Linked DNA regions of Sus scrofa. The protein of the gene in region 1 purifies or fractionates together with the protein of each later gene. This does not show direct contact. Links are inferred from orthologs where the notes say so. Each region holds a gene or a part of one and is shown in the gene's direction. Other genes may lie near its edges. The genes, in order: SMARCA4, DPF2, CEBPB, RB1, RBBP4, CHD7 and HDAC2.

Evidence for each region.
Region 2: the proteins of SMARCA4 (region 1) and DPF2 purify together in Homo sapiens (affinity purification with mass spectrometry; 13 studies listed by BioGRID and IntAct, counting the BioPlex papers as one, with this or other methods). This does not show direct contact. The link is inferred for Sus scrofa from reciprocal best matches to the Homo sapiens genes SMARCA4 and DPF2.
Region 3: the proteins of SMARCA4 (region 1) and CEBPB purify together in Homo sapiens (affinity purification with western blotting; 3 studies listed by BioGRID, with this or other methods). This does not show direct contact. The link is inferred for Sus scrofa from reciprocal best matches to the Homo sapiens genes SMARCA4 and CEBPB.
Region 4: the proteins of SMARCA4 (region 1) and RB1 purify together in Homo sapiens (affinity purification with western blotting; 7 studies listed by BioGRID, with this or other methods). This does not show direct contact. The link is inferred for Sus scrofa from reciprocal best matches to the Homo sapiens genes SMARCA4 and RB1.
Region 5: the proteins of SMARCA4 (region 1) and RBBP4 purify together in Homo sapiens (affinity purification with mass spectrometry; 3 studies listed by BioGRID, with this or other methods). This does not show direct contact. The link is inferred for Sus scrofa from reciprocal best matches to the Homo sapiens genes SMARCA4 and RBBP4.
Region 6: the proteins of SMARCA4 (region 1) and CHD7 purify together in Homo sapiens (affinity purification with mass spectrometry; 3 studies listed by BioGRID and IntAct, with this or other methods). This does not show direct contact. The link is inferred for Sus scrofa from reciprocal best matches to the Homo sapiens genes SMARCA4 and CHD7.
Region 7: the proteins of SMARCA4 (region 1) and HDAC2 purify together in Homo sapiens (affinity purification with western blotting; 9 studies listed by BioGRID and IntAct, with this or other methods). This does not show direct contact. The link is inferred for Sus scrofa from reciprocal best matches to the Homo sapiens genes SMARCA4 and HDAC2.

The regions. Positions count from the first base shown.
Region 1 is NC_010444.4:69,716,015-69,720,006, forward strand, and holds the start of SMARCA4 (transcription activator BRG1), read left to right. Parts: upstream 1-1,192; 5' UTR 1,193-1,458; exon of another isoform or gene 1,459-3,992. UniProt on the Homo sapiens protein: ATPase involved in transcriptional activation and repression of select genes by chromatin remodeling (alteration of DNA-nucleosome topology).
Region 2 is NC_010444.4:6,876,499-6,879,998, reverse strand, and holds part of DPF2 (zinc finger protein ubi-d4), read left to right. Parts: intron 1-1,429; coding exon 1,430-1,522; intron 1,523-1,708; coding exon 1,709-1,787; intron 1,788-2,296; coding exon of another isoform or gene 2,297-2,338; intron 2,339-3,349; coding exon 3,350-3,487; intron 3,488-3,500. UniProt on the Homo sapiens protein: Plays an active role in transcriptional regulation by binding modified histones H3 and H4. Is a negative regulator of myeloid differentiation of hematopoietic progenitor cells. Might also have a role in the development and maturation of lymphoid cells.
Region 3 is NC_010459.5:51,721,357-51,724,173, forward strand, and holds CEBPB (CCAAT/enhancer-binding protein beta), read left to right. Parts: upstream 1-1,276; coding exon 1,277-2,317; downstream 2,318-2,817. UniProt on the Homo sapiens protein: Important transcription factor regulating the expression of genes involved in immune and inflammatory responses. Also plays a significant role in adipogenesis, as well as in the gluconeogenic pathway, liver regeneration, and hematopoiesis.
Region 4 is NC_010453.5:19,248,136-19,251,635, reverse strand, and holds part of RB1 (retinoblastoma-associated protein), read left to right. Parts: intron 1-48; coding exon 49-80; intron 81-158; coding exon 159-235; intron 236-1,297; coding exon 1,298-1,494; intron 1,495-3,500. UniProt on the Homo sapiens protein: Tumor suppressor that is a key regulator of the G1/S transition of the cell cycle. The hypophosphorylated form binds transcription regulators of the E2F family, preventing transcription of E2F-responsive genes.
Region 5 is NC_010448.4:88,985,825-88,989,891, forward strand, and holds the start of RBBP4 (histone-binding protein RBBP4), read left to right. Parts: upstream 1-1,267; 5' UTR 1,268-1,552; coding exon 1,553-1,568; intron 1,569-2,135; coding exon 2,136-2,283; intron 2,284-4,067. Other genes in the region: ZBTB8OS (protein archease), read right to left, coding at 651-747. UniProt on the Homo sapiens protein: Core histone-binding subunit that may target chromatin assembly factors, chromatin remodeling factors and histone deacetylases to their histone substrates in a manner that is regulated by nucleosomal DNA.
Region 6 is NC_010446.5:72,586,944-72,590,443, reverse strand, and holds part of CHD7 (chromodomain-helicase-DNA-binding protein 7), read left to right. Parts: coding exon 1-81; intron 82-551; coding exon 552-655; intron 656-1,994; coding exon 1,995-2,124; intron 2,125-2,517; coding exon 2,518-2,590; intron 2,591-2,748; coding exon 2,749-2,806; intron 2,807-3,500. UniProt on the Homo sapiens protein: ATP-dependent chromatin-remodeling factor, slides nucleosomes along DNA; nucleosome sliding requires ATP. Probable transcription regulator. May be involved in the in 45S precursor rRNA production.
Region 7 is NC_010443.5:79,870,598-79,874,097, reverse strand, and holds part of HDAC2 (histone deacetylase 2), read left to right. Parts: coding exon 1-109; intron 110-1,128; coding exon 1,129-1,259; intron 1,260-2,231; coding exon 2,232-2,387; intron 2,388-3,500. UniProt on the Homo sapiens protein: Histone deacetylase that catalyzes the deacetylation of lysine residues on the N-terminal part of the core histones (H2A, H2B, H3 and H4).

The DNA.
Region 1 (3,992 bases):
TTTTTAAACTGTCTTGTGGGGGGGTGGGGGTGGCACACTACAGTAGATGCTGGGTATTCACTAGGGACTAAAATTGACAACATCATGCCATTTAAATTGAAGAGAAGGATGCTGTACAGCAGAAACTGACAGGATATTATAAATCAACTATAATAAAAAAACTTAAAAAGGTACCCAAGAAATGTGAAGGAAAGGGAATGGAGGCAGTGATCAAAGAGGAGGCAAGACTGGTGGAGGTGGTAAGTCAACTGAGACCTGAAAAATGAGGAAGAGTGGGCCTGGGAGAAGCAGGGATAGGGACAGTCACAGGCTGTGGGACTTGACTTTGGGGAGCATTTGCTCAGTTGTGGGGCTAAATGAGGTGGGGCTGGAGATACTTTAAAAACATAGAGGAAGCCGCCTACAAGCTCTAGGCCTTCATACTTCTAACAAGGCTCTCTCCCTCACTGCTTTTACTACTGGACTCAAATGTCTTCCCAACGCGGCCTTCCCTAGCTGCCGCTTTAAAATTTCCACCACTTTTCATGTCTCCATTTCAACACAGTGTATTTTATATTTTACTTGGTTCTCTTGCCTCGCGCCTGCCTCCCCCATTAGATCATGAGAGCCACAGCAGCTGAAATTTTATGTCCGGTGCCGCAACTCAACAGCAAATCAATAAATATCTGCTAATTAATAGCCTTACATAGGCTCTGCACAAAAGACAGCCACAGTCCGTACCCGTCAGACTGCCCAAAGGGCACCACATCCCCCCTACCAAGGATGAAAACGGTTCCTAAGTTCGCCCTTGACCCGGAGGCCGGCTCTGCTCATCTCTGGCCCAGCCTCCCCGCCTCTTCCCCTCAAGCACTGCCTTGCATCCTCACTTCCCGGTCTCAGGGCCCCTCTGCCACCCCTTCCCCAAAGACCCTGCCGCCATCCAGTCCCATCCCCCAGCCACCCACCACCACCATCACTACCACCACCACTACCGCCGCCGCAGTGGCGCCCGCTCTGCGCATGCTCGGAGCAGTGGCGACGCACGACGTGCGGAAGGCGAAGAACCACCCCCATGCGCAAGCGCAGGCGCGTCCCGCACAAAGTAGGGAGGTGCGTCCGGGGCGCTAGCTCTCTCTGGCCCCGCCCCCTCCCCACCCCACCCCCGCGGCCGACACGCACGCGCTCTAGGAGCGGAAGGGCGGGCGGGCACGCGCACGAGACCGGGCGGGCGGCGGAAGCGGGAGAGGCGCTTAGTGGTGGGGGGGAGGGGAGGTGACGAGTGCGCGCGCAGCGGGGGCGCGGGTGGCGTGGGGGGGGCGGCCGAGGCCGGCGGGCGCGCGCGCGAGGCTTACCCTCGCTTGGCGGCGGCAGCGGCGGCTTCTTTGTTTCGTGAGAAGAGGCGAGACGCCCATTCTGCCCCCGGCCTCGCGCGGAGGGGCGGGGGCGGCGCCAGGAAGGCGACGGCACCGGCGACTCCCGGTAAGGAACGCAGATCGCGGGGGGAGCGCGGCGCGGGGCTTGGGAGGACGGTTTGAATGGAGCCGGGGTTCCGAGGGGGGAGGGGGCCGCCGGCGCCCGGAGCAGGGCCGGGGTACGGCGGCGCCCGAGGGTCAAGACGCCTGGCCTGCACCGCGCGCGCGGGGAAGGCCACAGTGCATCGAGGCCGCGGCGGCTACAGTATCCGCGGCGGGTGGGGTGGGGGCCCGGGCCGCGTGGAGGCCGCGCGCCCCTCGCGCGCGCTCTCGCCGGGGTCGCCGGACAAAGCTCTTCGCCCAGTCGGCGGGCCACGGGCCCGGCCCCCATCGCGGTCTCAGCTGCGGCTATAACAATAGCCAGGCGTCCGGGCTATTCTGGCTACGTTGTAACGGGTCCGACTCGATTGTTGCCTTTTAACAAGGCTGCGGTCATCGCTCAGTAGGAAAACCCCCAGATATGTCCAGCGTCGCCTGGACATGAACATTAGCAGCACAATTGGTTTAGATGACCTAAAATTTCATTTTTAAAAAGTCAATTTTAGGTTTTCAAGGCAAGGTAAATAACTCTTTCAGCCCCTTGTAAAGTAGTGACTCCAGAATGTTTGCCTTAAATCGGAGGATCCGCAGCTAGTCGGGAAGGACCGGGAGAACTGCTGTTGAAAGCTTTGTTTTAGTTTTCCATCCTTTTCCCTTCCTCGCAATTGATTTTCCAGATTAACGCTTTTATTTAAGATGTGGATCTTTAAGGAGAAGGTGTTTTGTGCCGATCTTGAAGACTAGCCTAGGTAGCCACCCCACGCCCCCACCCCCAGTGAATCCTTAGGTAAAGTAGGGAATAATGTTAGAACCACTTCCTAGGAATTTGAAGTAAGTTTTCACTTTCAATTGACAGACTGGAGTTGGGTTTGATTTCTGGCGTTGCTGGTTACTTAGCTATGTGACCTTAGGCAAATAACTTAATTTTTCTGAACCTCTTAGTTTCCTCATTTGTGAAATGGCAATAATGCCACAAATGGAGTTGGTGAAAGCCAATAAAATGGTTCCTGGTTAGAGGGAAGCACTATTTTGTTGTTCAGTCCAATCTCCTCCTTTATTGTTAAACAAAAGTTTGTTGAGTCCCTACTGGGTGTTAGATGATTGGAGGTTGGATGCCTTGGGAGCCTCTCCAGCCTTGTAGGGGAACAGGTGGTAAATGTGGGGACTACTCCCCTTGGCCTGTCATGTGAGAGGAACACAGTGGATGGATGCCCAGTGATGGGAGTCAGAGATTAGGGAGGTTGCGTGGAAGAGGAGCCTTTACTGAGGATCAGGGAGGATGTCCAGGTTGCATTTGACCATCTGGGACCAGTCATTGCTCCCCTCTGCTATTCTCACATCACCTTGATCCTTTCTTGTGTAGCAGTTATCTGGGTTTGTAATTACACATCTATTCTTTTCCAAGGGCCATCAGAGCTCTCACAGCTCTGTCTCCCTGATCTCCTGAAGCACGTAGTAGGCCCTTAGCAGCCATTTGTGGATGAAGAGGAGGGTGTTCAGGAGGATTGAGTGAAGCTGTGTGTGAAGTGCTTGGCCCACGACTGAAAGTGGGTTGTAGGCGATAAATGTTAGTTGTTGGAGGGTTTTTGTTGTTGTTTTAACTTTCTAGGCCATTGTTTCCCAAACCTCATTCCCCCAAAAATGAAGATGTAGGGCTGTGGTTAATATGAGGTGGTGGTGTGGAGAGCTAGTTCTGGAATCAGACCTCCTGGATTTATACCCATCTCTTAATCCTAGTTTGACCTCAAGCAAGACACTTAACAGTAGACTCCCCTCTTGTGAAACAGGTACGATAGTGGTGTCACCTCAGAGAGTTATTGTGAGAGTTCAAAAGACAGTGTGGGAAGTGGCTTACCATCTGCAGAGCCTGACATGTAATGAGCCCTCAACTTATTGGTGTTTATATTATTTATATATATGTAAATTAGCTGTATAAAAAAACTGAAAACATAATTTAGAGTCATTCTGTATTCCAGAAATCCCGGGTTTGATGTGCTGGTTATATATATTTTCCTAATTTTCTTTAAAATCAATGCATACATAATTGTGACAATAATAAACATTGCTCCACATGCCACTTAAAATCATTTTGTGTCCAACCCGTCAGGAGATGGTGATCTTGAAGGTTTTTGAGCCCAGGGGTGGTTGTGAGCTGACCTCACCAGAGCTTTAGCGGGGGGGCAGTGCAGTGGTCTCCAAATTTGTTGTCAGTGAAAAGCACTTCAACAGGAACACATATTTATTTATTTACCTTTTTTACCTCTTGTGGGTCCTCAAACGTTGGGTTGTAACCCCACACCAGCTCCATGTCCTAGCTCTTTGTGATGTGGGAGACGGGGAGGGACTGGGTGTGTTGGGTGAATGTCTGGTGAGAAGATTTTGCCAGTGGAGAAACTGAGGTCCAGAGCTCTCCAGTCAAACATCCAGGTCTGACGCCTAGCTTTGCTGCTTCCCTCTTGGTGCCTCAAGGAAATAGGGGTGACAGTGCCTGGCGCTTTGTAA
Region 2 (3,500 bases), about 63 Mb from region 1:
TGCACCACAACGGGAACTCTGGCATTGATTGGTCTTCTTTTGTCACCAAGGTTTTTTGGTGCTTACCAACAAGGAAGATAGAACTATACATAAAAATAATGAGAGCTAAAAATATTCCAGGTGCTGTACTAAATACTTTTCCATCCTTCTCTCCAGTCTCTACAACCCCATTTCACATATATGGAGGCTGGAGTTCCTGCTGTCTCAGCAGGTTAAGAACCCAGTTAGTCTTTGTGAGGATGAAGGGTCAATCCCTGGCCTCATTCAGTGGGTTAAGGATCCAGTGTTGCCACAAGCTGTGGCATAGGTCACAGATATGGCTCAGATCCCTCGATGCTATAGGCCAGCAGCTCCAGCTCTGATTTGACCCATAGCCTGAGACCTTCCTTATGCCGCAGGTGCAGCTGTGAAAAAGAAACAAAACATGTAGAAGGAGGCTGAAGCAGAGTTTAAAAAAAAAAAAGTAGCTTCCCACAAGGAAGCAGCAAAGCTCTAATTTAAATGTAGGAAATGAAGTGTCAGAGGGAACCACTGATAACATGCTTCCAGGGTGGCAGTCCACAGGCAGGAGAGGGCATGGCTACCTTGGGTATCAGGGAAAGTTTTATGAAAACATGGCATTTGATTTGGCTACTTGGAGATGGTAGGAAAGGCATTCTAAGTTAGGGGAACAACATGAAGAGAGGCCCAGAGGAAGGAGAACCCAGAACATTGAAAGAACAGCAGTGAGGCTGGAGGGAAGGGACCAGGTCACAGAGGAGGTTCTGGGAGTTCCCTTGTGGGTCAGTACAGTAAGGATCAGCATTGTTACTGCAGTAGCTCAGGTCGCTGCTGTGGCACAAGTTTGATCCCTGGGAACTTTTTTTTTTTTTTTTTTTGTCTTTTTAGGGCCACACGCTTGGCATATGGAGGTTCTCAGGCTGAGGGTCAAATTGGAGCTGTAGCCACCAGCCTGTGCCACAGCCACAGCAACACGGGATCCAAGCCACATCTGCAACCTACACTACAGCTTACGGCAACGCCAGATCCTTAACTCACTGAGCTCACATCCTCATGGTTGCTAGTTAGGTTCATTATTGCTGAGCCACAACGGGAACGCCTATTTTTATTTTATTTTTGCTGTACCTATGGCATATGGGAGTTTCCAGGCTAGGGGTCAAATTGGAGCTGCAGCTGCTGGCCAGCTGCAGTGCTGGATCCTTAACCCACTGAGCAAGGCCAGGGATGGAACCCGGTTCCTCGTGGATATTAGATTCGTTAACCACTGTGCCATGACGGGAACTCCCCTGGGAACTTCTTCATGTGGTACGGCCGGGGGGGAAGAGAAGAACTAAAACAGAGGAGGTTCTGGGCAGCCTTGGCTCCCCGTTGTCGGGGAGCTTTTGGGAGTACCTTATTTCTGCCTGTCCTAATCCTCTTGTCCACTCAGCGGATCCTAGAACCGGATGACTTCCTGGATGACCTCGATGATGAGGACTATGAAGAAGACACTCCCAAGCGTCGGGGCAAGGGGAAGTCCAAGGTGAGGGGCCAGGGTGCGGCCTCCAGCCTGAGGGAGTGGGGATTTATTGCTTACTGTTTTCCCACAGTTTTATTACCTGTTGTCATTTTCCCTCTTGAGTGAGATTCGCAGCCGCTTCCAGGTGAGTCTTAACTCTTTAGGCTGAGATACCTTAGTTAAAGCCATCTTTTTACTCTTTTTTCACAGGGTAAAGGTGTGGGCAGTGCCCGTAAGAAGCTGGACGCTTCCATCCTGGAGGATCGGGACAAACCCTATGCCTGTGACAGTGAGTGCCTCGCGAGTGGGTGGGTAGTCCTTGCCTTGGACCCAGCTCCTCGGGATATGAGAGGAGGGAAGGTTGTGTTCTTGCTCAGAATGGTAAAACAAGCCTGGACTCTTGTCCTGCCCCTGACTGGTTCCCTCTGAGATCCCTGAGGGGTGCTGGCTTCTGCTACACGACGGGTGGGCCCTGCATGTTCTGGGGGAGATGTCTGCTGTCCTCTGGGGTGGGGGTGCCAATAGGGGGCACACCCAGCAGGCAGGGTTGGCCTCAATAAATGGCATTCAGGTCTGCTTGCCTTAGTCGAACCAGAGCCCCAGGAGTCCAACACCGACTTTTTCAATGTCTGTTCTCTCTCCCCCTTTTCTCTGACTCGCCCCACTTCTGTCCCTCTACCCTGGGAGCACCATCGCCGCTGAGGTTTCTCTCTCGTTTGCTCTGCTTTCCTGCTGCTGCCGCACCTGTCTCGAGTGTATCAAGGCCTTCTTCTCATGACTTTTCTTTCTGTCTTTCAGATAGTTTCAAACAAAAGCATACCTCGAAAGCGCCCCAGAGAGGTAGCTCTCTCAACTTTTCAGACTTTTGGTTTTCCTATCCCTTGTCCCACCTCCCTTGTTCCTGCCTTTCTCATCTGTGATGCTGGTTTTAAACTGTGGAATGGCATGCGGATAGGAGCAGTGGGCCTTCTGTTGTGCTCCACTCCTCACAGCCCTGGAAGCTGCCTTTACCACTGCTTGTCTCCCACAGACTTGCTCCTAGGGCTGCTCGGGCCCACTGCATGGGGTGGCTTCAAAAGCGTTGTAAAGAACGCATTACAAACAGATCCCTCTGCTGCCCCTTCCCCAAAACAGACACATGGTGGTCAGCTAATGTTCCCTGCCATCCGCCACCTCCTCCACCCATCCCTTCCTCGTCCCTTTTCTGCTGCCCCCTTGCTCTTTTTGGTATCACTGCTCAAGAGTACGAGATGCCTCATGGGGATCTGCTTTCTTGCTGGTTGGTGAGGTTGGGTGGGGCACTGATGTGGGGGTGTCTTTGAGTTTCTTTGGGGAATAACTACTCCAGCAGATTAGTTGATAGGTGATCCCCCAAGAGGTCCACCCCCTGCTCGTTTATCCACATTGGGCAGAGATGGGCTGTGGTGTATATGGGGTAGTGTGAACCTCCCGCATTTACTGAGAGGTAAACAAGTTTGGAGTCCCTCCTCCCTCTGTCTGTCCTGCCATATTGCAAGGCTATAGAAATTCCCTTTCCTTCCTGACTTGGAGCTCCCCAGACTATTCCCAGGGCAAGTGGTGATGGGGCAAGGGCTCAGCCTTCCTAAGAGCCTGTGCAGAAGAGTAGAGATGGCCTTGGGCTGGGGTTAGTAAAAAGAGCCATGCAAGCCAGAGAGCCCCAGGACCTGAGGTTCCTGGCCAGGGGGAGGCAGCTCCCACTGAAGGCCTGTCCCTGAACAGAGCTGATGGGGGTGGTTACCTTTGCCTCAGGTAGAGCTCCCAGCTTAGTGGGGCAGGGATATGGCCCTCTCACGTCCTAACACCGTTCTCTGTGATCTTTAACCCACTCAGTTTGCGGAAAACGTTACAAGAACCGACCAGGCCTCAGCTACCACTATGCCCATTCCCACCTGGCTGAGGAGGAGGGCGAGGACAAGGAGGACTCGCAGCCACCCACCCCGGTTTCCCAGAGGTCTGAGGAGCAGAAATGTAAGCTGAGGTG
Region 3 (2,817 bases), on another chromosome or scaffold:
GAGTGTAGGGACCAGGGCTTTTCTTTGAGAATAGTGGGGGACATGAGGCCATCTGACCTGGGGTGTGCTATGCCCCCTCTGGGCCTCTTTACACCCTGGGAGAGGCCCTTCTCTCTGCTGTGCATCTTAGAGCAGAAAGCCTTATGTTTGGGAGTCTGTGGTGGAGACAATAATACAACTAATAATAAGTTTTGAGACCTTCAAGGATTGAAGGTTAGCTAAGTGACCTGCGCAAGGTGACACAGTAATGTCAGAGCTTAGCACCTACACCCCCTTCTACACTTTGGGTGCCCAAGTGGGAGTGGGGTGGGGCTGGAGAATACCCGGGTGTGGTCTGAGGGGGCGGGCGGCTGTGCTGGGCAGGGCTAGGAGAGGGGCAAGGTCGGGCCCCTGGCAGATGCTCCAGTGGAGCTTGCTCCAGACTTGCACTCCCAAAGCCCCCAACCACAAGTCTTCGCATTTAGGAGAGAAGTCCCTATAGGCGTGAAATCCTCTCCTTCCAAAAGTTGGGGACGAGGGCAAGTTTAGGGGCGGGGCCGGGCCCTGGAAGGGCTTTGGAGATGGGCTACCTCTCCAATAGCCAGAGCAGGGGTTTGGGGTCTCCAGGATCCCGCCTGGGGCGCGTCCCCTCCTTAAGGAGTTGGGGCTGAGAGCCGCTGATCTTGAAGCCACGGCCTCCTCCAGCAGGGGGCGGGCCGCGGCCGCGTTTAGGGTGGGGGAAGGCGATGGCGTCGCCCCCTCCCCGGATTCCCCCCTCCCTTCTAGTACAGCCTCCAGCCCAGAGGGGGCGGTCCGGGGGCGGGTTCGCGCCTCTTCTCGCTTCCAATCCTGAGTCCGAAGGGTGGGGGTGGGCAGGGGGCGTGTGGCGGCCCCCGAAGCCGGAGGACCCCCCAAGGGCGCGCTCCAGATCTTCAGTCAGGTCACGGTGCCCCACCGCCGCCCTGCCGGGGGTCTCGGGCGGCCACAGCGTGTCCTCTGCGTGCCCGGGGAGGGGTTGGGGCGGCCGCCAGGCGTGACGCAGCCGTTGCCATGGCCCGCCTTATAAATAACCGGGCTCTGGAGAAACTTTAGCGAGTCAGAGCCGCGCACGGGACCGGGAAGGGGACCCACCCGAGGGTCCAGCTACCAGCCCCCGCACTAATAGCGGCCAATCCAGCGGAAAAAGCAACAGCAGCAGCAGCGACACAGCAGCGACAGTTCGGAGCCAGGAGGCCGCGCCACCTGCGGGCCGGCCGGAGCGGGCAGCCCCAGGCCCCCTCCCCGGGCACCCGCGTTCATGCAACGCCTGGTGGCCTGGGACCCAGCATGTCTCCCCCTGCCGCCGCCGCCTGCCTTTAAATCCATGGAAGTGGCCAACTTCTACTACGAGGCGGACTGCTTGGCTGCTGCGTACGGCGGCAAGGCGGCCCCCGCGGCGCCCCCCGCGGCCAGACCCGGGCCGCGCCCCCCCGCCGGCGAGCTGGGTAGCATCGGTGACCACGAGCGCGCCATCGACTTCAGCCCATACCTGGAGCCGCTGGGCGCGCCGCAGGCCCCGGCGCCGGCCACGGCCACCGACACCTTCGAGGCGGCTCCGCCCGCGCCCGCCCCCGCGCCCGCCTCCTCCGGGCAGCACCACGACTTCCTCTCCGATCTCTTCTCCGACGACTACGGGGGCAAGAACTGCAAGAAGGCGGCCGAATACGGCTACGTGAGCCTGGGGCGTCTGGGGGCCGCCAAGAACGCGCTGCACCCGGGCTGCTTCGCGCCCCTACACCCGCCGCCCCCGCCGCCGCCGCCGCAGCCGGCCGAGCTCAAGGCGGAGCCGGGCTTCGAGCCCGCGGACTGCAAGCGGAAGGAGGAGGCCGGAGCGCCGGGCGGCGGCGCCGCAGGCATGGCGGCTGGCTTCCCGTATGCGCTGCGCGCCTACCTCGGCTACCAGGCGGTGCCGAGCGGCAGCAGCGGGAGCCTGTCCACATCCTCGTCGTCCAGCCCGCCCGGCACGCCGAGCCCCGCCGACGCCAAGGCGCCCCCAGCCGCCTGCTACGCGGGGGCGGCGCCGGCGCCCTCGCAGGTCAAGAGTAAGACCAAGAAGACCGTGGATAAGCACAGCGACGAGTACAAGATCCGGCGTGAGCGCAACAACATCGCGGTGCGCAAGAGCCGCGACAAGGCCAAGATGCGCAACCTGGAGACGCAGCATAAGGTCCTGGAGCTCACGGCCGAGAACGAGCGGCTCCAGAAGAAGGTGGAGCAGCTGTCGCGCGAGCTCAGCACCCTGCGGAACTTGTTCAAGCAGCTGCCCGAGCCCCTGCTCGCCTCCTCCGGCCACTGCTAGCGCGGCCCCCGCGCGCGTCCCCCTGCCGGCCCGCCGGCCTCCGCGCTGCCGGGCGCGCCGCGGCCACAGTGACTCCGGGAAGCGCCCGCGCTCCCGCCCCCGCCCCCAGTGGCGCCGGCAAAACTTTGGCACTGGGGCACTTGGCAGCGCGGGGAGCTCGTCGGTAATTTTAATATTTTATTATATATATCTATATTTTTGTCCAAACCAACCGCACATGCAGATGAGGCGCCCGCCCGTGGTGTTATTTAAAGAAGAAATGTCTATGTGTACAGATGAATGATAAACTCTGCCTCTCCTCCTGCCCCCTCTCCAGGCGCCGGCGGGCGGGCCGGTTTCGAAGTTGATGCAATCGGTTTAAACATGGCTGAACGCGTGTGTACACGGGACTGACGCAACCCACGTGTAACTGTCAGCCGGGCCCTGAGTAATCGCTTAAAGATGTTCCTACGGGGTTGTTTCTGTTGCTGTTGTTTTTGTTTTTGTTGTTGTTTTTTTGG
Region 4 (3,500 bases), on another chromosome or scaffold:
CCAACACAAAAAAAGTTTCAGTTAAATATTTTTCTTTATCTGTTTTAGGAAGAAGAACGATTATCCATTCAAAATTTTAGGTAAATTCTTGTTTTTGTAAAACAATTTCATCTTTTTATAAAAGTAAATGTTACAAAATCATTCTTTTTTTCCTTTAGCAAACTCCTGAATGACAACATCTTTCATATGTCTTTGTTGGCATGCGCTCTTGAGGTTGTAATGGCTACATATAGCAGTAAGTTAAATTTTAGTAAATAAACATTTTAGTTCAATTTAAAGTTAAAAAAATTTAAGGTGTGGTGTGGGGTTTTTTTTGTTGTTGTTTTGTTTTTTTTGTTTTGTTTTTTTTTAGTGGGGCAGTGGAGGAGTTAAGGAGAAGAAATGCATATTTTAGCTCTGTGTATACTGAAGAATGTAATTGGTCACCATAAACCATGCAAGTGCGTTACTAACCTGAATTATTTCAGGTCATCTTGGGAATAGTTTCACTAGGCTCCTATTCTAGGCTATACAGAATCCAGGAACTGTACCTGTTGAAATCTCTTCAAAGACTTATGAGATTATAAAACACCAGAGGATTATTATCAAGCAGCTTCCACTGATATGGAAGTACTGCCACATATGTATTCTATAGCTACTAGACTAAAGGTTGGAGGTAGAATCCACCAGATAAACAAAACAGAGGCCATCAGTACTGGGGTTTTTTGTTTTTTGTTTTTTTTTTAATATAACTTTAAACATGTATTATTTTGCGAATAATGTTGCAAATGTCAAGAAAGTTTTGTTTGCAAAAAAAAGAGAGAAAATCTTCTGATACAAATATATAAGAGAAACTTAAATTAGTAAACAAATGTGGGCAACTCTGATCCTCATTGATAACCAAGAAGTGCACACTTTAAAAAGATACCATTTTCTAACCAAATTAGCAAAATCTTAAAGGATCTTTCCCCCCTTAACCACGGATTCATGCGACAATTAAAATGGATAGGCTAAAGCCTCTTAGTTGTTAAACCTGTCCCTGGTACAAGTTTAGGGTATTTAAACCTTTAAATGTTTGGTATAAGCTGTTAGCCGTCTATCTAGGAAAGACATATATGCATATACACTCAAACTTTGAAAGCCTATTTCCTGTGAGTCTCTGGACCCCAGGATAAAAAAATTCTAAATAAAAAATTTTGCTAAGCCTTTCTACTCTGTTTTAATATATTTTTTTGATTAAAAACTTTCCAGCCAAAAAATATGTAGTGCAAAGCTTTGCATTTCATACCTGAGTTACATTTTTTTCTTTCATTTTTAGGAAGTACGTCTCAGAATCTTGATACTGGAACAGATTTGTCCTTCCCGTGGATTCTGAATGTACTTAATTTAAAAGCTTTTGATTTTTACAAAGTGATTGAAAGTTTTATCAAAGCAGAAGCCAACTTGACCAGAGAAATGATTAAACATTTAGAACGATGTGAACATCGAATCATGGAATCCCTTGCTTGGCGCTCAGTAAGTAACTAGCTAAAATAACTAGATATTCATATGCATAGAGATAATTCTTATCTGTTAGTGAAAGGCATTTGTTAAAATTTACCTCAGTAGTAAATATGCAATTTAATGAATAATGTGTTTTCAGTGTATAGCCCAAGAATCAAGTGGAGTTTTAGAATGGAGTTTTCTTTGAGTTCCCCAGACTATCTGATACAGGGATTTATTTAGGAATACCTTTTCTTAAAGCTTGGCACTTTAAAACAGAGCAGAATTCTCTAAAGCTTCACAGATAAGCAAAAGCTAAGAGACTTCAGCAACACTAAACCAGCTTTACAACAAATACTAAAGGAACTTCTCTAGACAGAAAAGAAAAGGCCACAACCAGAAACAAAAATACGACAAATGACAAGGCTCACCAGTAAAGGCATATATATATATATATATATATATATATATATATATATATATATATACAGTAAGATACGAAATCATCCACGCACAATTATGCCACCAAAATCAGAGATCGTGAGAAGAGGAGGGTACAAATGCAGGACACTGGAGATGCACTTGCAATTAAGAGACCAACAACTTAAAACAATCTTACATACGTATAGACTCATATCAAAACTTCAGAATAACTGCAAACCAAAAATCTACAATTGATACACAAACAAATAAGAAAAATCAACTCAAATACAACACTAAAGATAGTCATCAAACCACAAGAGGAGAGAACAAGAGAAGAAGGGAAAAAAGAGCAACAAAAACAAATCCAAAACAGACCAGAATTCTTTAAAGTATTTGAGAAATTTATTTAAAATAGAGGTGTCATGTTGAAAATTCTCATGTCTGCTCTTAAATTCAGCAAAATGATTAAAAATTTGAGTTTCATGTGCTAAGCATACATCTTTTCATTTAAGTTAGTATGTAGAAATGACAGAAAAATAATGACTTCAGTTAGATTAGAGTTTTAATCTGTCCATGTAAATTTTTTAATCTTTTGGTGTTTTAAAATGTAATGGCTAAGAGATAACTTGTTTCGTAGTGCTTTTCTTATGCTGGGGTGTAGAGAGAGTGGATAGAAAAGGAGAGAAGTAGGGGAAGTTGATAGATGTTGTATTTCGGTGATTGAATATAGTGACTCCTTTACTGGAGCTTCCACTTTATAAGTAAAGGAGTGGTTAGGAGCAAACGCTCAGAATCTGTAGCTTAAATGAAAGTAACATAAATAAAACAAGTAGATAAGAATACTTTTCAGATGCTGCTCTCCTTTCTTCCCCAAAATTGAAACCAAGGCACTATTGTATCATCTGAAAGTGACTATTGTCATTTCTTGTAGAGAACTACTTTTATTTCCATTAGTGCACATCTGCCGTGTGCCTTTCATTGAGGTAGACGTTGTGAGGATATGAGCTCTGAAAAATCATAGAGGAAATAGTAGCATTGTACTGTATAAAAATTGCTCGTGCTTAAGCCCATTTAGTTCAGTTACTGACTTCTAAGATTCTGAACAACATTCCTTTATTTTTGAGGATTTGTTGAGAAAAAGTTACATGAACAAAGTCTAGGAAGAGGGTATTTTTTTTAATAATAGAATGATGTGGAAGTCATATGCTTCTGAATTTAAATTCTAAGTGTGGTATTTATTGGGGATGAAATTATAGACAGTTTTTCATGTTTCAATTTTTAAAAAATCAGCAAATACTGCTTTTTCAATCATAAACAGAATGGAGTGCTAGTGGGTAACTGTGGAGATAAGTCTGCCACACAGATGATGTGAATTTTTCCTATTGACAGTAATTAACATTTCAGAGAAGAGACATACCATAGATATATTTGGACTTTCAAAGACTTGAGGGTGTTTTTTTATTTGTCTTTTTAGGGCTGCACTCTCGCCATATGGAGGTTCCCAGGCTAGGGGTCTAATCAGAGCTGTAGCCGCTGGCCTATGCCAGAGCCACAGCAATGCCAGATCTGAGCCTCGTCTGTGACCTACACCACAGCTCACAGGCTGCGCCAGATTC
Region 5 (4,067 bases), on another chromosome or scaffold:
GTAAGCTATGGTAAATAGTTGGATTCTATACTGAAGACAAGGGGAATTTAATGAAATATTTTAAGCAGGGATATTAGAGTCAGATTAGTCCTTCCCAGACCACAGCCACCTTTAGGGATGATAGCTTAAGGTTTATATAGAACTTCAGAGTCTGCACTACACTTTCACATTTATTTTTATCTCAATTATCCCTCACATGAAGGAACTGAATGCAAAGAAAGGTTATGTGATTTGCCTAAAGTCACTTAACTAAATATGGCAAAACCAGGTCTTTTTACTAACACGATACAGGTAAAACACCAAGTTAGAAGTTCCCTACTGAGAGCTTTCAGTCCCCTAACCTAGCCACACTCTTAGGAGACGACAACTCCGCAAACGCTTGAAAACACGGTTGTGTTTAGAATTAATACACCAATAAAATTCCCACAAAGTAAGCGTGAATAGGCACACGTAGAAAAAGTTCAAAAGACTAAATGTGGAAGCCCAGATTTCCGATTCAGACCGGGTGGCTTTTCCCTTCAGCATCCGCGGGACAAGCACAGAAGAGACAAACAGGGCTAAAAGGGAACGTGCCGGAAGTACCGTAGGGGACAAAGTGGAAGGCGAGGCCAGAAGCCCCAGGTAATGAGAGAAGTGAGACACCTACTCACACTCGTACTTCCGATTGACTGGAGGATACTTGGCCTTGATCGCCTTCTGCTCCTCAGTCAAATTGTAATCTCTAAAATCTTCCCCTTCCAGCGCCATGATTGTGCTTTTGGACCCAAACTCAGCTTCCGCCCTTCTTCAGCTGGACTTCGGCCCTGACTTATAACTTCCGCTCTAGACTCCGCCCCTTGGCACACCCTTAAAGGACCAGGGCTCCATTCCCTGGGAGGTACTTAATCCTTCTAGACTTCCGTTCTGTGTCCCAGGGTTTGGAGCACATCATTAAAAGTCGAAGGACCCACTTTCTGCTCTTGCTTAATAGTTCTTCCTACGACTAAGGAAACAAATAATTTGGAGGACGTGGAATAAGGGACACGAATTAGACACCTTTCGATCTGAATGATAGAGGCCTTTTCTTGCCGCCTAGCCCCACAATAGATAACTAGACCCGGAAGCATCCTACATTTTCCCATCTAAAGTACTACTTTGAAGGGGTCGCTAGCTTAACACCCTTCACGAAAATGGCTGCCCCCAAAAGCGTGCGGACTAAACCTCTCACGTGACCCCGGGCGGGTGCACTTCTACTACTCCCGCGCGCGCGAGCGCGCGCGCGTGATCGGAGGAAGTCGGCTTGGGGCCGTGTGGGGGCAGGGGCAGAGCGCGCGCCTGGGCCTGGAGGCAAGCTGCTCCGCGCGTCTGGATAGGCTGCGATCGCGGCTTCCCCGCCCACACCGACGTTCGGCGCACTCCGATTGGCCGATGTTGGCGCGAAGGTGCGCGAGTCGGCCCTCACGCAGGGGCAGCAGGAAACAATAGAGGCCGCGCGCGCAGAAGGAGCGCTCGCAGCCTCCCCGCCCCTCTCGCAACGCTCTGCCCCAGGATCCCCCCGGCTTGCCTGTACGCCATGGCGGACAAGGAAGGTGAGGGTGCCGGGGCCGCCCCAGGAGGGCGGGAGGAGTCAGGCTTGCGCCGCGGCCTCAACGCGGCCTAACGGTGGGGGCAGGCCAGACTCTGCCTAGGGCCGTCCCCGCCATCGCAGGCGTGAGGAAAAATCGCCCCGCGGGGCGGGCTCATGGCGCGCCAGCCCCTCTGGAGCGGAGGCCCGGCGCAGCGGTGTGAGGCTGGCCGTGGTGGCCTCGGGGGGGGTGTTTGGTCCCTCCCGCGCTCCCCGTCGGTCTACCTGCCTCTCTCCGGGTCCTCCCGGCCGCTCTCCCTACCCGCAGGGGTCGGTGCTCGGTCTCACCGTCGGTTCTGTGCGCTCGACGGCGGGCGCCGTCGCCCGAAGGGCTAACGGAGTGTCTGGTCGGGATTACCCGAGCAGTTCCCGCCCGGCGAAGCTGGAGAGCGGTGGTGGTGCCTGCGCCTCCGGGAGATCTAGACTAATCTCCATTTCAGAATCAGGATTCAGGAGCCGTGACGGTAGCTTTGGAAGTGTTTACTCGGTTTCCGTTTGTGGTCGCTAACTTAATTTGTTCTTAATTTTTTAGCAGCCTTTGATGACGCAGTAGAAGAACGTGTGATCAACGAAGAGTACAAAATATGGAAAAAGAACACCCCTTTTCTTTACGATTTGGTGATGACCCATGCTCTGGAGTGGCCCAGCCTAACTGCACAGTGGCTTCCAGATGTAACCAGGTGATAGGAATCTCTCGAATGCTGTTTTGTTGTGTCCTCAGTGTAGATTTCTCACATTGATTTTCCCTGTTTTCCTCTCTCCAGTCACCCGTAGAGGACACGTGATCAAAGCCTATTGGTGACATTTTTTTCCTAGGCCAGAAAGTAAGGCAAAATGTAAAATTATTTTGCAGTTTAGCATATAAGAGAGAACATACTGATGTTTTCTTTTTATTTACTTGTTTTTATTGAGGTACTGATTTACAATGTTGTGTAAATTTCTGCTGTACGGCAAAGTGATTCAGTTATGTTTTTAAAGTACAGCTGATTTTCCATGCTTCTTCGGTTTCTGTTGTATAGCAAAGTGACCCAATCACAGTTTCCTGTGTACACTTTTTTTTGGATATATATTCTTTTCCATTATGGTTTTCCTAGGACACTGAATATAATTTTCTTTGTTATACAGTAGGATCTTGTTTATTACCACTTTCGTGTAGACTAGCTTATTACATCTGCTAACCCCCACCTCCTGCTCCCTCTCCCAACCCCCTTGGCAACCACAAATTTATTTCCTATATCTGAGTCTGTTTCTGTTTTGTAGATAGGTTTGTCATATTTTAGACTCTCCAATATAAATGATATTTGTCTTTCTCTTTCTGATTTCACTTAGTATGATCATCTAATTGCATCCAGGTTGCTGCAAATGGCATTATTTCTTCCTTTTTACGGCTGAGTAGTATTCCATTGTATATATGTACCACATCTTTATTCATCTGTCAGATTGTTCCCATGTCTTGGCTATTGTGAATAATGCTGCTGTGAACATAGCGGTACATGTATCATTTTGAATTATAGTTTTGTCTGGATATATACTGGGGAGTAGGATTGCTGGGTCATATGGTAACTCTATCCTTAGTTTTCTGAGGCATTTACATACTGTTTTCCATAATAGCTGCACCAGTTTGCTTTCCCACCAGCAGTGTGGGAGATGTTTCCTTTTCCTAACACTGAATTGAATAGTGGGATTATAGCTGTAGTTGACCAAATGGTAATGTAAAACTTGTCAGCTTTCAGAAACTATCAGGATGAGTTCAGTTTTTAACATCAAAATGTTTGAATCTCGGCAGTCAGTGGTATTTTCTAGTTAGTTAATGCAAAGGTAAATGTGACATGGTACCTGCTTTCAAGTCTAGTGAATAGGCAGGTATAATTATGAAAGTGGCAAAGATAAAATGATCAGAGAAAGGAAAATTATCTCAACTTGGAATATCAGGAAAGGCTTTCAGTGGGAAGTGACAGTGTGAAAAGGAAGGTGACTTTAAGTAGTATAAAGCTTTAACAAACTGAGCGTGCCTGGGGGAATAATGGATTTTTTATTACAAAACTGTTGGTGTTCAGAGTAACAGCTGAAAGTTATATGTATGCTAAATAACTAGGTTCCTTCAGAACTCAGGTCTTTTGAGTCAAGATATTTGTAAAATGTGGTTGTTGGCCTATGTTTCAGCTCAACAAGTAATAGAAATTTTATAGAAATTTCATTGCCAACTTAATGAGCATGCTACTTTCGTAGTAGCTTTTTAAAAATGGGGAAATCTGGAGTTCCCGTTGTGGCTCAGCAGTAACGAACCCAACCAGTATCCATGAGGATGTGGATTCAGTCCCTGCCCCTGGCAGTGGATTAAAGGATCCAGTGTTGCCGTGAGCTGTGGTGTAGGTCGCAAATGTGGCTCAGATTCAGAGCGTGGCTGTGGCTGGCAGCTGTAGCTCTGATTCAGCCCCTAGCCTGGGAACTTGATGTGCTACAG
Region 6 (3,500 bases), on another chromosome or scaffold:
GCGTGTCCGCATGCTCTACTACCTGAGACAGGAAGTGATAGGGGACCAGGCCGAGAAGATCCTGGATGGTGCTGACTCGAGGTGGGTGCGAGCCCACGTCTCTCGGTCCAAGACAGCGGCGATGGCCCGGGGTGTGGGTGGGACCGCATCACAGACCGCCTTTCCCACCCCTGTCACCCAGCAGCAGCGCATCTCCCTTCTTGCGTCTCGAACGAACGCAGTGTTTGTCCTCCCAGCCCCGGGGACGTGAAGAGAATCAGGAGAAGCCTGTTTGTATGTGTGTGTGTGGACGTACAGGGAGGCGGGAACCGAGTTAAGGGTGCTCTGAGATGACCTTTATGACAGGACGCTGGGTGATGAAGTTCATGTCTATCCTGCTAGAAGGCGGCTGACTCCTGCCCTTTCTTTTAACCTTTGCTTGTTCCCCACGCGCGCGCGAGCCCTGCTCAGGTGCTGCTGGTGAGCAAGGGGCGTGTGTTGTATTCATCAGGCAGCAGCCTTTTTGATGCTGGTATTTGTCCTAAATATGACACCCACGGTTGTCCTTACAGTGAAGCCGACGTGTGGATACCTGAGCCCTTCCACGCAGAAGTCCCCACAGACTGGTGGGATAAGGAAGCTGACAAGTCGCTCCTGATTGGAGTGTTCAAACACGGTAAGGGGTGTCTCTGCTGGACCCCAGCTTGACCGTGGGGCTTTGTCTCTGTTTTAGAGCCTTTTGCACACTCTTTCCAAAGTCATAATATTCATGAGGCTAGTTCCAAAGGACTCTTGGCGTCTACCATTTTCCTGTACTAAAAAATCTAATATGAACTGTAAATATCAGATGCTGTTTTTGAATGTTTGTTGAGTATTTGAGAAGAAAACATTTCTTTCTTGGCTGTAAATAAAACCCAAACCATATTTGTTTTAAAACCAGCCCAGTTCGTCCTATAGCTCTCCCTAAACTTTGCTTCCAACCCGGCTCCCCTTGCGAGCTCTGCCAGCCCGTGTCAAAGTGGACGGTGGGCTTAACCTCTGCTATTAATCTGTACAAGTGCCTCCTGGGCTTTGTTCCAAGCAATATTTCACAAATGTCAGTGCGGAGAACTCGGGCTCCCCGGAGTGGGATGCAGCCTTGTTAACTTTGAAAGGCTGGGGAAGCAGAACTGGCATGATCTATACAGTGAACGATTCCTGATTATAATCCCAGGTCTCTGGAGGTCGCCGAGGTATTCTCAGCAGCCCAGCCTGACTAAAGGGGAGAATGATGGCTTATAAAACCTTTCATGATTACAGTTTGGCTTGCGGCTCTACAGCAGTTAGGAGCGGTGTGTTGTCGTACACATCCTAATTGAATTGTGCTGTTCTGCTTATGTACTGCAGCCGTGTTTTGTGAGCTCAGCCTAAAAATCATTTTCCCGCAGTGCACTGTTGGGATCTGCCATTTTCCATCTAGTCAACTTGGGCAGTCAAAAAGCAAATTGCAGTTTGAAAACCATAGAGGGAACAGTGTCATCTTCCTGACATGCATCATCCTAAACCTAATAAGACAGGTTCGCTGGCCTTCCGCAGACAGGGATTTCTCAGCTAGTGGTGCAAGTTCCTGCAGGACCGAAGCTGTTCACAAGGAGGGTGGGGTGGACCGTTGCAGAGGTCATCAAGGAACATTACGAAGCCTTTTAAATGCCAAGCAAAATGAGATCCTGGGGACAATAGGGTCAAACATCTTCCCAGGCCTCTCGCAGTTATTCAGAACCCGTTCTTCTGTTAGTATTCATGGTCATTCTGATGACATCCCTGTGATGGAACCTGCCCCCTCCCACCCCCAAATCTGCCCTGGGCTGAGCGTTCCAGAGAAAGGGCTACTGCAGCCCGGTTCCTTTAAATACAAAGTAAGTGATCACCTCGATGGTGAAACGAACGTGCTGTGTTGCGGCGGTGCTGTGATTCTGGCAGTGACGGGCCTTCCTTGTTTCCGTGTGTGTCCTCTGCGGGCCGGTGGGACGGCACAGGGTATGAGAAGTACAATTCCATGCGAGCTGACCCCGCGCTCTGCTTCCTGGAACGAGTTGGTATGCCCGATGCCAAGGCCATCGCTGCCGAGCAGAGAGGAACAGACATGCTAGCAGATGGCGGTGACGGGTAAGAAGGACATTTTAAAATTTTAATAAACTTTATGTCAGTGTCACATCTACTGGCAGGGTTCACTTCCTATGCCGCACCGTGCATTACATTGCATCTGATTTGGACTTAAGTGATGTTTACCAGTTTAGTCTGTTTATATATCATAATGACTATTTCAACACAATATATGATCTAGATAATCTGCAGCTTGTCTGTCTTTTCCAAGTGATGACAGTACCCCCACCCACCCACCCACCCTTCACGGCTGCACGTTTTAAATACCAATAGAGTCGCTTTTGATGTCAGACTCTGAATTTAAAGTAGCATCAGACAGGTTCTTACTCTTTCCCAGGCTCCCTTCAGTCTCTTGCTAATCAGTATGATTTCAACATTTTTAAAAATTTTATATAGGGGAGAATTTGATAGAGAAGATGAAGACCCAGAATACAAACCAACCAGAACGCCATTCAAGGATGAAATAGATGTAAGAACTTGAGTACATTGACTTTTACAGCCCCAGTAAAATATTATGTGCCCATATAAGACTTGTTAAACTTTATAGATGATGGCCTTTTCTTTAAAAGATAAAGCAAAATTAAACTGCAAATTAAAATAATTTCTCTTTCTTGCTTTGCTTTCGAGGAATTTGCAAATTCTCCTCCAGAAGATAAGGAAGAACCCATGGAAATACGTGCCCCAGGTAGGGCTCCCTGAAAGTGGGGGGCATGGGTGCTGACGAGTCAGGGACAGGCCCTGCCCCCCAGCGGGGCTGCTGCTGCAGCTTCACAACAGCCAGGTCTTATTTAGAGAGTGAGTTCATCTACACAGCCTCATCTCTTCTGTGAAGAATTTTAGTTCTTGCTTATTCTTGGTTTTTCATAACTTTGAATTTCTTTGATAACATAACTGTTTTGGGGATTAAGGTCATTTATATATTTGTGTTTTACAACAGCTGGTGAGAACTTTTAAGCATCTTTAGAAGTATAGTTTTTGTGAGCAAACCATTTGCTAAGTACCTGAAATAGTGCCAGTTTATAGAGACTACTGCCCTGTTTGCCTAACGTAAAGTCGTTAGCTGACAATTGTGTGATTATTTCTTATGTTCAAGGCAATTACATCAGAGGAGAGCACCTTTATCATATAGTTCATGGCCTAAAGTATGTTTCTTTTTGTGTACGATTGGTAAATGAACTTGGTGGTTCCCCCCCCAGTTGACAAAGAAATGGTTTATAAGTTGCATACTAATATTATTCCTTAGTATATTTTCAAAAGGAGGGCACTGCAGTGCCCTTCCCCACACTGTCATTGGAATGTTAACGAGTCACCTTGTTTTGATGGAAAACCCCGAGTTGCGGCACGGTTGCAGCTGCAAGTTTCAGGAACCTTTTCTCGCT
Region 7 (3,500 bases), on another chromosome or scaffold:
AATTGCCATATAATGATTACTTTGAGTATTTTGGACCGGACTTCAAGCTGCATATTAGTCCTTCAAACATGACAAACCAGAACACTCCAGAATATATGGAAAAGATAAAGTAAGACATCATTGAATTGATTTGATAAACCCTCATCTTGATATAGCTTTAGGAGCCTTTCGAAGGCCAAGTGCAGTAGGTCATGTTAAGCTTTATATGTAAGGTATTTATCTTTGTCAAAAGCAGTTGAAAACTTTATTGATTTAATTTTATACGATAATGGAGAATGTATGGGATTCATACATTTTCGGAGTTTTCAGAGTTCCCATCATGGCGCAGTAGAAACGAATCCGACTAGAAAACTGAGGTTGCGGGTTCAATCCCTGGCCTCTCTCAGTGGTTTAAGGATCTGGCATTGCTGTGAGCTGTGGTGTAGGTCACAGAGGTGGCTCAGATCCCACATTGCTGTGGCTGTGGTGTAGGCTGGCGGCCACAGCTCTGATTGGACCCTTAGCCTGGGAAAACTCCATATGCGGCCAGTGCATCCCTAAAACAAAACAAAACAAAACAAAATTTACATCTTGTATTAGTCGATATAGATTTTTCTTACTTTCTGGCTAGCTTGCAGCATATGAAAGTTCCAAGCCACGGAACAAATTCAAGCCAGAGTGCACCAATGCTGGATCCTTAACCAGCTGCACCACGGTGGGAACGCCAAGATGGATTTTTAAATTGAAAAGGACACCAAATTTTAAACTTTCTTGCTTTACACGAAAATGAAATTTATCTGTATTGAAACATTTTGATAACGCTTTACCTTAAAGAGTAAAGTGTTAGACATTGTACTACCCAGGCCTGGGTTTGTGTCCTCTATACCACACAGCAGCTCCGTGACATTTGGCAAGTTAACCTGCCTTTGTGTTTATATTTCCTTCTCCTTAAGATGGGGGGTGAAATATATATCATGTAAATTTTAAGGGTTAGTAATATGTAAAGTATCTGTTTAGTAAATGATAATATTTTACTTCATAGGTTAAGCTAGATAGAAGAGCCAGTTTTTGCTTAATGTTTCCTCTTACATTTAAAAGGGCCTTGAAAGAAAATAATATTTTCTAATAATTGTACATGTTGTAATTTAGACAGCGTTTATTTGAAAATTTACGCATGTTGCCTCATGCACCTGGTGTCCAAATGCAAGCTATTCCAGAAGATGCAGTTCATGAAGACAGTGGAGATGAAGATGGAGAAGATCCAGACAAGAGAATTTCTAGTAAGATAGTGCCCTTATGTGGGTTCTGTTATATTTTCTGGTTTATTAAAAGATCACTACAAATTGAAGGTTTTTTTTTTGGTGGCCCAAGAACCTCACTGTGGTTCACGTTTCGTGAGTATACTATTACTACTGTCTTTTCTTGCCCTCTTTAATCTTCCATAGATTTAATTTCCACTGTCTCAGAGCCTAATTTGAGTATCAGCAATTTCAGTTTATATAACTACATATATGATCAGAAGTTTCCACAAATGAACCATTTATGTAGAGTGAGTTGAATGACATTGAGCACCTTCTGTTTGATGTTACAGTCTCTAATTTCACTTGCTATGATGTGTAGATTTATAGCATAATTGTGTGGTCTATACTTGGTGTTAACAGTATTTTTTATTTCTCTCTGCTCTGAAATAAAAAGGTTACTTTTTATATGAAGATATCATTCCCACTTCCTATTAGGAAAGCACAATTTTTTTTTTCCTCTTAAGCAGTTTGTTTTGTTTTTTAATGAGGAGTAACTTTGAATTACTCCTGGATTAAAGCTGTATTTTCAGAATTTAGCAAGCCATACATTCAGTTCTTATCTCAAAATCATTAGGCATCTGTTATCCAAATTTTTTTTCTTTATAGGGCTGCACCTGTGGCATATGTAAGTTCCCAGGCTAGGGGTCGAATCAGAGCTGTACCTGAGGCCTACGCCACAGCCACGGCAACACTAGATCAGAGCTGCATCTGCAACCTGTACCACAGCTCACAGCAACATTGGATGCTTAATCCACTGAGCGAGGCCAGAGGTCAAACCTGCATCCTCATGGACACTCTGTCTGGTTCTTAACCCACTGAACTACATCGGGAACTTCTATACTTTTAAATGTTGTAACTGGCTAGTTCATTTGTACAGGAGTGCACTATAACAGTTGTCAGACATTGAGATTGCTTTTGTCAAAACTATATTAAAAATCTTTAATGTATTAGTTCGAGCATCAGACAAACGGATAGCGTGTGATGAAGAATTCTCAGATTCAGAGGACGAAGGGGAAGGAGGCCGTAGAAATGTGGCTGATCATAAGAAAGGAGCAAAGAAAGCTAGAATTGAAGAAGACAAGAAGGAAACAGAGGACAAAAAAGCAGGTAAATGTGTTTTAATTGTAAATTTTTAAAAATGAGCTGCACTGCAGTTGTTACGAGATCCTGAGGTCAATTGCACGGGTATTGGAGAGGGGGTAGGTGTGCCAAGTAGGTGACACCCCCCCCATGTTATTTAGAGCTAAATGTTATTAGTCACATTTGCTTTTATAATATAGGAAACGATCTCTTCTTAGTGACATAGGCTTAAAATAGTCAACATTGCATTATGATACAGATTGGGTAAGAGAGAGGACAAGGTAGTTTTAGATCCATTTGTAGCCTGTCAGCAAAGCTGAAATCCTAAGAGAGTTTTTAACTACCTGTAAGTTTATTTGATAGGAATAAAACACAAAAGGGCCACATTATCTATCCTTATACCAGTTTCACCATTTTGAAAAGGCTCAGAGAATAGGCTTTGTTCAGAAATTGTTTGAAGGAAACAAAAACTATAGAAAGGAAGGGATTTGGAAGCTGGGCTGGGAGATCATAACTTTCTGATGTCTTAACTTTAAAAATGCTGTCAGTTTATTGAGAAAATAGATGCTTTAGGGCATTGAATTTGCTACCAGAAAGTATTATCTTTTTTCTGAGTTCCCGGAGCACTAATACATACCTTGATCATTTTATTTTATTTTAAGACATCGTAGTATAGCACCTCATGAGGGATTTTATATAGCTCTCTGCTGGATTGACGTGTTCATGGCTAGAGAATACAGTGTCTTAAATCTCTGTATTCTCAGCACCTGGTGCATTTCTTTTTTTGTCTTTTTGCCATTTTCGTGGGCTGCTCCCATGGCATATGGAGATTCCTAGGTTAGGGGTCCATTTGAAGCTGTAGCCGCCAGCCTACACCAGAGCCACAGCAGTGCAGGATCCGAGCCGCGTCTGCAGCCTGCACCACAGCTCACAGCAACGCCAGATCCTTAACCCACTGAGCAGCAAGGCCAGGGATTGAACCTGCAACCTCATGGTTCCTAGTCGGATTCGTTAACCACTGCACCATGACTGGAACTCCGTGGTACATTTCTTGATGGATACCTGATACCAATGTGCAGTAATGGCAGTGAGCACAGGTTTCAGTTGACCTGTTAATTTTGACCATGTAGCTTGTAGAAA